2 linked regions of the Macaca mulatta genome follow. The protein of the gene in region 1 purifies or fractionates together with the protein of each later gene. This does not show direct contact. Links are inferred from orthologs where the notes say so. Each region holds a gene or a part of one and is shown on either strand. Other genes may lie near its edges.

Evidence for each region.
Region 2: the proteins of FBXW2 (region 1) and CUL1 purify together in Homo sapiens (affinity purification with western blotting; 13 studies listed by BioGRID and IntAct, with this or other methods). This does not show direct contact. The link is inferred for Macaca mulatta from reciprocal best matches to the Homo sapiens genes FBXW2 and CUL1.

What each region holds. Positions count from the first base shown.
Region 1 is NC_133420.1:37,410,526-37,414,987, forward strand, and holds the start of FBXW2 (F-box/WD repeat-containing protein 2), read left to right. Parts: upstream 1-1,403; 5' UTR 1,404-1,462; intron 1,463-1,558; 5' UTR 1,559-1,850; coding exon 1,851-1,929; intron 1,930-4,462. UniProt on the Homo sapiens protein: Substrate-recognition component of the SCF (SKP1-CUL1-F-box protein)-type E3 ubiquitin ligase complex.
Region 2 is NC_133408.1:188,577,523-188,581,338, reverse strand, and holds part of CUL1 (cullin-1), read right to left. Parts: intron 3,675-3,816; coding exon 3,507-3,674; intron 1,316-3,506; coding exon 1,265-1,315; intron 1,066-1,264; coding exon 975-1,065; intron 283-974; coding exon 119-282; intron 1-118. UniProt on the Homo sapiens protein: Core component of multiple cullin-RING-based SCF (SKP1-CUL1-F-box protein) E3 ubiquitin-protein ligase complexes, which mediate the ubiquitination of proteins involved in cell cycle progression, signal transduction and transcription.

The sequences.
Region 1 (4,462 bases):
AGAGAACAACTCCATCATAGGCAAAAGGCCTATTGGACAGTGTTGGTATAAGATGCATGTGAATGTGCGTGTATGCATATATGGTTTAGGAACCCTTACAGAGAAACGAGGATAACTTGTGTGCTGGGCATCATGGTTCACCCCTGTAATCCGAGCACTTTTTGGGAGGCCCAGGCAGGTGGATCACTTAAGCCTAGAAGTACAAGACCAGCCTGGGCAACACAGCAAAACCCTGCCTCTACAAAAATACACACAAACACACACACACACACACACACAATTAGCTGGGCATGGTGACATGCATCTGTGGTCCCATCTACTCAGGAGGCTGAGGTGGGAGGATCGCTTGAGCCTGGAGAAGTTGAGGCTGCAGTGAGCCAAGATCGTTGTCACTGTACTCCAGCCTGAGCGACAGAGTGATACGTTGCCTCAAAAAAAAAAAAAAAAAAAAAGGGTAACTTGTGCTCTGAAGTCAGTTTAGGTTGAAATCCAACGACAGCCATTTACTATGACCTTAGGCAAGATGCCTAAACCTCTTTTGATTTCAGTTTCCCGATCTCTAAAAATGGGCCTAATAATAGTTACCAGCTTGTGCGGTTGTTGTGGGAGCTGAGTGAGATGGTACACAACAAGTGTTAAGAAAGAGTGCGTGGAATTTTTTAGCTCAGTTTTAGTTCTTGAAGCAAAAAGGTTTGCATGCTTAATTTCCTTCAATCCTCAGAGCCTACCGATGGGGAGTTGACTATAACTTCCATGCAGATGAAGCAAAGTCTGAGAGGTGAAGTAACCAGGGCATAGCTAGAGTGTAAATGTTGTGATTCATTCAAATCTACATCACTTGACTGTCTTTTTTCATTCAACAACCTCCTTACCTTGCTTTATTTCTCTCCTTTTCACATGCCTTACTTAGTCTGTCTTCCTCCTTCTAATAGATGTAAGCCCCCGGCGGTCAGGGATTTTTGCGTTTTTTGTTCACGAACCCTATCCCCTAGAACAGTGTTCGGGATAAAGAGGGGCCCAACAGGTCGTATGAATCTGGACACGTCTCAACTTCCCTGAGCCACAGCTCCCTCTCCTCCGAAAATGAGGATAATAAGAAAGCCTACTGCAGAGCTGGTGCAAGATCGGATTGGAGGAGCGACACAAAAGCGCTGTGCAAACCTGGATGTACGGTACGAAAAGAAGCTCTGTTCTAGGTTGCATCCCGCCTAAGCACCGTCAGGGCCGCGCGGCGAGCGTTCAACTTCCCGGGACGCTCTCCTCCCAATCCCTACTCCTGGCCTCCACCCTCCTACCACCCACCACCCACCTCGGGGCGGGGACCGGAAGTGCAGCCACTTCCGCCGGGCGCCGCGGAGCTGAGGGACGCGCGGAGATGAGGGACGCGCGGAGATGACGCAGGCAGCACCGGAAGCCGCTCCCCAGTGAGGCTGTGGACCGGGAGCGGCGGCCGCAGGTCCAGGTCTGTATGCGAGGCGGGGCCGGTCGGGGAGGGGACTTTCAGGCGCCCGCGCCTCTGCTGACCTGCCGCGCCTTGGCTGTTTTTCTCTCCCTGCAGGCGCCATGGCTGCGGAGCGGACCCGGCCGCTGCGAGGCTCTGGCGGCCCGAGCGTGCCTAGTAGCTGTGAACCCGGCTCGAGGTCCCGGGCCCCGGGGTGCTCGCTCAGGTCAGTGCCGCGCGGAACACGGTTCCGAGAGCAAGGGACCTGGGAGCGACGAATGGGTTGATGGGATCTGGATTTTAGAAATGGGAAAACAGGGTTTCGGAGTTACTGCCTCCTACTGCCTCCATTTCCTTAGCTGCAAAATGAGTTAACAGTGATGTCCCAGGGCTACCAAATGTTTGAAAGATGATGAAGTGTGATGAGGTGGTTTATGAAGTACAAAGAGCTGTGCTGCGCCATAATTGTGGGTATGCCGTGAAAACAGGTGTGTGTGGGGGGTGCTGCTTGAAGTAAAGCAAAGATAACAATATTAATGCTGAGTGAAAATGGTAACCGACATTTACTGTAGGCTTACAGCGTGCCGGGTACTGTGCTAAACGCTTTACGTGCACTATCTTGTTTAACCCTCATAAAAGCCCTTGTAGGTAATGCTCTTCGTGGCTGTATTTTACAAGTGAGGAAACAGGGCGTGAGACAGGTGAAGTGTTTTGCCCAAGGTCACCCAGCAACAAGTGGAGTTGCAGAACGCATTTTTATAAACATTTGTATTCTTTCAAAGCTTTAAAAAATTCACCTTAAAACTAAAGGCTGTCTTTTGATAGTATATCATACTTACATGGTTTTCAGTTTTAAAAGGTATACGATAAAAAGGGACCTCTCATTCCTTTTCTCCAGTTCTGTCTGGAGGCAACCAGGGTTGTCAGCTTCTTGAATATTCAGAATACATTTTATGCATATGTAAGTTTATAGGTGTGTATACATTTTCAACGCCTCTGTACTCCTTGATAAGAAAAGAGGGGGAAATGAAGCCTCCTTCCCTCTAACACTAACAATTAGGTTGCTTTCACTCTTGACTAGGCCAGGTTCTGATGGAGGAGGAGGTGGGGAAAACACATTTACACTGTTTTCCAGAAGGTCCTGTCTCTAACACCTTAGAGTATAGGTTTGGGGAGGATGGGTACTGGGCAAAATATTGAGCCTGCTACTTCCTATGCCATTCTGGGAAAGCCACTCCACTTCTTGAGCCATAAATTTCCTTATCATGTTAGTTAAGGGCGGCATTACTGATACCTTCCATGAGGTTATGAAGATCAAATGAGATGTTTACCAGTGGTACTTTTTCTTTAAAACCAATATAAATATGTGAGTTGCCTAAGGTAATATAGGGAGTTAATGGCAGAACCTGAGACCAAACCCGGGCTCTCTTTTTCCAATTTAGGAGTCTTTTTGTTACATGACCCACTTTGTGATTATTGATACTGAATGCAAGAGGGCAAGTTGAATGTTAACTCTGAGGTAGAGGTGTGGGGTAAGGGGGCCAAACAGCAGGGAATGTGGATAGAATAAGGCACCTGCTGGGAAACGAGAGCCTGCAATAAACAGGTGCTCTTTTCTTTTCTTTTTTTTTTTTTTTGAGACGGAGTCTCGATTTGTTGCCCAGGCTGGAGTGCAGTGGCGCGATCTCGGCTCACTGCAAGCTCCGCCTCCCGGGTTCACGCCATTCTCCTACCTCAGCCTCCCAGGTAGCTGGGACTACCGGCGCCCGCTACCACACCCGGCTAATTTTTTTTGTATTTTTAGTAGAGACGGGGTTTCACTGTGTTAGGATGGTCTCGATCTCCTGACCTCGTGATCCGCCCGCCTCGGCCTCCCAAAGTGCTGGGATTACAGGCGTGAGCCACCGTGCCCGGCCAACAGGTGCTCTTAATTATCAAGTTAAACCCCTAGTAAGTTTGAGCCCTTGAGTTTTTCTTCCGGGTATTTTGAAGATAAACTTTGTGGTAAGATGATGGGGTCGAAAGAGATGTTAGTGGTCATGTCCACTGGTCATTCCAGCCTCAGTGTCACAGAAATCTTTCCTGCCAGATATTCATAGTAATAAAACTAGCAAAAAGTACCATTTGAGTTTTTACCCCCTAGACTGTACACTGTGCTAAGCTTGTCCTTGCTATATTTCTAAGTTTCACCCTTCAAGTTGGATGATAGCTTCCATTTTACAGATGATAAAACTGAAGCTTAAAAGTTAGTTGGACATGCCCGTAATCACATAGGAAGTGGTTGAATCAGTAAAACATTTGACCTCCAAAGCATTTTCATGTATCACATTCTGCCTCTGTGTGCAACTGTCCTTGACTGTTCGTGGTAATGGGAAACTAACTACTCTGGAGGGAGCTATTCCATTGTTAGAAAGCGCTGAGATTTAAAAGCTTCTCATGTTGAATTGAAATCCCATTTCCTGAGGTTTGTGCAACCAGTATATGATATTTCTAGAGGCTGCCTAAAAGAGTCCAGTTTAGACTTGTTACCTTAGAAAGCCCCCTCCAAAGTTAGTTGATCCTTTTGGAAAAGTAAAAAATTGGTGTTTTTTAATAATACATTCTGCGGTTAGTGAGACTTGCTTTTTTAGGGGGAAAAAAATGCCTTTTTCAGAATAATCAGAGGTGAACTGCTCAATCCTACAAGGGATTGAGTGGTTTAAAAGGCAATCTAAAAGTTGGGAAAATTTTTTTATTAAGAGTTAGGAGAATATTTAAATCTCAGATATGGCTGAGCTTTTTAGAGGTGCTCTCTGAAAAAGCTTCTTCCATAATCTTTAGCGGTGTCATCGGCACATTAATTTGACTTTTTAAAAAAATTATACTTTAAGTTCTAGGATACTTGTGCACAACGTGTAGGTTTGTTACATAGGTATACATGTGAATTTGGCATGTTATAGTATGTCTCTTAGATATTTGTGAATGATGGGAACCTGATAAGATTTTAATGAGTATTCTAAATTTGCCTTGTAGCCATTTGAG
Region 2 (3,816 bases), on another chromosome or scaffold:
ATAGAAAAACAATGCCCAACAAATGACTTGTAAAGAAAGCTGTATATGCTAAAAAGAACTCACTTGAGTAGCAATGACTTTAACTTAAGTCTACTTAAAGTACTATATTGAAGCTTACCTTTTTCATATATTCAGTAACTGGGTTCTGCTGCAAGAATTCAGTACTCTCTCTGGTATAAAATCTCTCTGTGTCAGCCAAAAATTGAGATTCAAAGGATTCTTTATACACTGTTAACGTAGGGCCCTTTGCAAATGCATCATCTTCATTCAGCCCCAATTCCACTAGAAATGAATATGAGCTATATTTCAATTACCCTATTTTTTTGGTTATATTTCACAGAATATACTTAGGTGTAGCATTCAGTTTAAGTTATGTTTAAAAGGTAAATGTGAAATGGCAGGACATAAGTAACTCTTACTCACTAGTATTAAAGTACACTCTTTCAATAAAATAAAAAAGGAAAAAAATCCAAGATGTATAAAAAGCAAGTAATTCTGACCCATGGCCAGGTATGCTTCAAAATTATGATGAAGTTCCTTTAGAGAACTTTTATATTTCCAAAGGCAATAAAAATAACTAATTTTAAATTTGCAAAGAAATACAATGCTACCCAAGTTTTTAAGACATTGTATTACTTTATCAGTTTCTCAATCTCAATTTTTCAAGCTGATATAGATTTCTGGTTATCATTGAGCTCACACTCTAACATGTCCAGTAATCCACTACGAGACCAGAAAAGAAAATAATTAAAATGTCTATTTCATCAAAATTTCCTTAAGGCACACGGATCAAACAGCTTTTATGATGGATAAAAACAAAGTCACACTGACTTAAAAAGAAAGAGAAGTACCTTCGTAAATGCTAACAATGTCCTTTATAATATGAAAATATTTTAAAGTGAAATCTGTTAGAGCATTGTCATAATTGCCATTTGATGTGGAAACTTTGAATAAACTAAAGGGAAATTATTTACCGTAAGACTGTACAACTCCACTAATCAATCTTGTATTGATGGTTTCACCATTCCTTTCCTTTTCAATCAGCTTTAAAACAGCATTTGTTACCTTTAGAAAGGATGTAGAAAAATATTACACAGGTTATAGAATATGATATATATTACTACATATCCCTTAAACATTCACAGCCATTAAACAATGTAAGATGGGATAATCCAAAGGAGTGAGCAGACAAAGGCTAAGCAACGAAACTGTGAAGGGATTTTAAAAGGAACACGCACACGCACACGCTTACACCAGTAGGTACCTGTTTATTCAGTGGCCTGAACAGACAGTCTCTCCAAGTCACCAATGCAAGCTGGAGAAAAAAAAAGTACAAAATATCTATACTTTTACTATGTTTTTCCAAGATTGAAGTCATAGGAAATAATCTAAATCTCAAATTACTTCATCAAAATTTCTAGATTACAAGTTGGTCAAAATCTGCTATCATGACGAAATCAGAAAGCCACTCTCTAGAGTCAACAACTTCAAGAGGTATCCAAGCACAGACATTTGTCAGCTCAACTTCTTTATTTATATTTTCTTTAACTGTTGTTGAAAACAGTATAGGAAAAGTTTAAAAACCGTAATTATTTTTAGGAGTCTGTGATGTTACTGTAGGGTACACATTTAGGTCAAGCAGGTTTCCAAAAGGAAATGAACCAAGATCATCCTGATTCCTATACTAACAACTTTTGAGTCTCAAGAAAGCATTTATATGTGAAAAAGAAAAAAAATCCCATTAGCTATTCCACAATACACACATATTTCAAAAAGGCATGGTGTACACATTTTTGTCAGTTAAAAAAATAAACAAAATGTTAAAGGGGAAGCACAAAAACCCCAAATCAAACAACTAAACCTAGAAAGTTTTGTTAGAACCAGACTAACTACATAGCAAAGTATCATTATGAACCAATTAACAATTTTGGTATAGAAACTGGAGTTACACAAACAATAAAAACAAGTCATGCATCTGGGATACATTATGCTTTTCTTTCTTTTCTTTTTTTTCTTTAGACAGGATCTCACTCTGTCCAGTGGTACGATCATGGCTAACTGCACCCTCCACCTCCTGGGCTCAAGCGATCCTCCTACCTCAGCCTCATGTGTGGCTGGGACTATAGGTGCCTCACCATGCCTGGATACATTTTTTTGTACGTCTCATTATGCTGCCCAGGCTGGTCTCCTGTCTCGGTCTCCCAACGTGCTAGGATTACAAGCATGAGCCACTGCAACCAGCATTATGTTTTTCTTTTAAATTTGTCAAAAGTGAAGCTACAAAGTATTGCTATTATAGCAACATTCTTGGATATGGTGATTAACTTCTTTATGTAGAATCTGACATTTTAACAAAACTAGTTTTAAAGGGCATTGCCTGTGTTGATCACGAACAGACTGTTCTGAGTCCTCCCTTAATTGCTCTAGAACACTGGTTCTCAAACTGGAGCATGCATCAGAATTGTCTGGAGAGCTTCTGAGTCCTCCCTTAATTGCTCTAGAACACTGGTCCTCAAACTGGAGCATGCATCAGAATTGTCTGGAGAGCTTGGTAAAACATTGCTGGGCCCCATCTCCAGAGTTTCTCCTTAAGTCTAGGATGAGGCCTAAGAATGTGCATTTCTAACAAGTCCCCAGGTGATGCTGACAGAGCAGGTTTGGGGACGTGATACGGTTTGGCTATGCCCCCAGCCAAATCTCACCTTGAACTATAGCTCCCATAATTCCCACATGTTGCGGGAGGCACTCAGTGGGAGAGAGCTGAATCATGGGGGTGGTTCCCCCACACTGTTCTCATGGTAGTGAATAAGTCTCACGAGATCTGATGGTTTTATAAGGGTTTCTGCTTTCGCTTGGCTCTCATTCTGTCTTGCCTGCCACCATGTAAGATGTGCCTTCTGCCATGATTATGAGGCCTTCCCAGCCACGTGGAACTGTTGAGCCCATTAAACTTTTCTTTATAAATTACCCAGTCTCAGGCAGTTTTTTATCAGAAGTTATGAAAACAGACAAATATGGGACCATACTTTGAAAGCCAATGGACAAAAAAACCCCTTTTGCTGACTGAAGCAACATATATTAATGAGAGTGATTTAGTAATTAATTCAGGGTCCTCTCCCTGAAGCAGGGTTTACCAGGCTATAAAGTATGGGAGGGCTAATCCTCAGGGCTCGCCCTCAGGTATGGCACCTGATTTGCCTGGGACTGCCACGACTCAGGACTTTCAGTGAGAAAACTCAGGCAGTTCCATGCCAATTGTGATGGTAGGGTCAGGTAATTAAAGAAGAAATTTTTAAAAAGCAAATGCAGAAATGGACAAATTGTATTTTAGAACTCCAATTTACCCATTCCTCTACTTTCTTGCTAAAAAATATTTAAGGGACATTTATTGATAAAACAATGAAAATTAGTTTACTACTCTGAAAAAAGCTTAATATTTGCCTAGATTCTCTTACTAAAAGACAATTTATCATTTTAAAAAAACACATTTAAAACAAAACTCTTACTGAATAGATTTCATATATTCCTTTTCGTCCTTCGTCACATTCACGGCGAACCCAATGTCTATTGAGGTAGGCACAAATTCCATTCAGTACTTTGCTTGAAAATCGATAATCTTCCCATTGTTGAGTGTAGAATTTCAGTACACTCTCATCCATCAAATCTTCTCCATCCTAAAAACAAGTTAACTAAAGCTTTAAGATGACTAATTTGTCACATTATAAATTAAAAATAAAAGTGAGTAACATCTACTGTATTAAAATACATTGATACATGTGATTTTAGATGGCTTCTTTAAATTATTCTGTATACAAA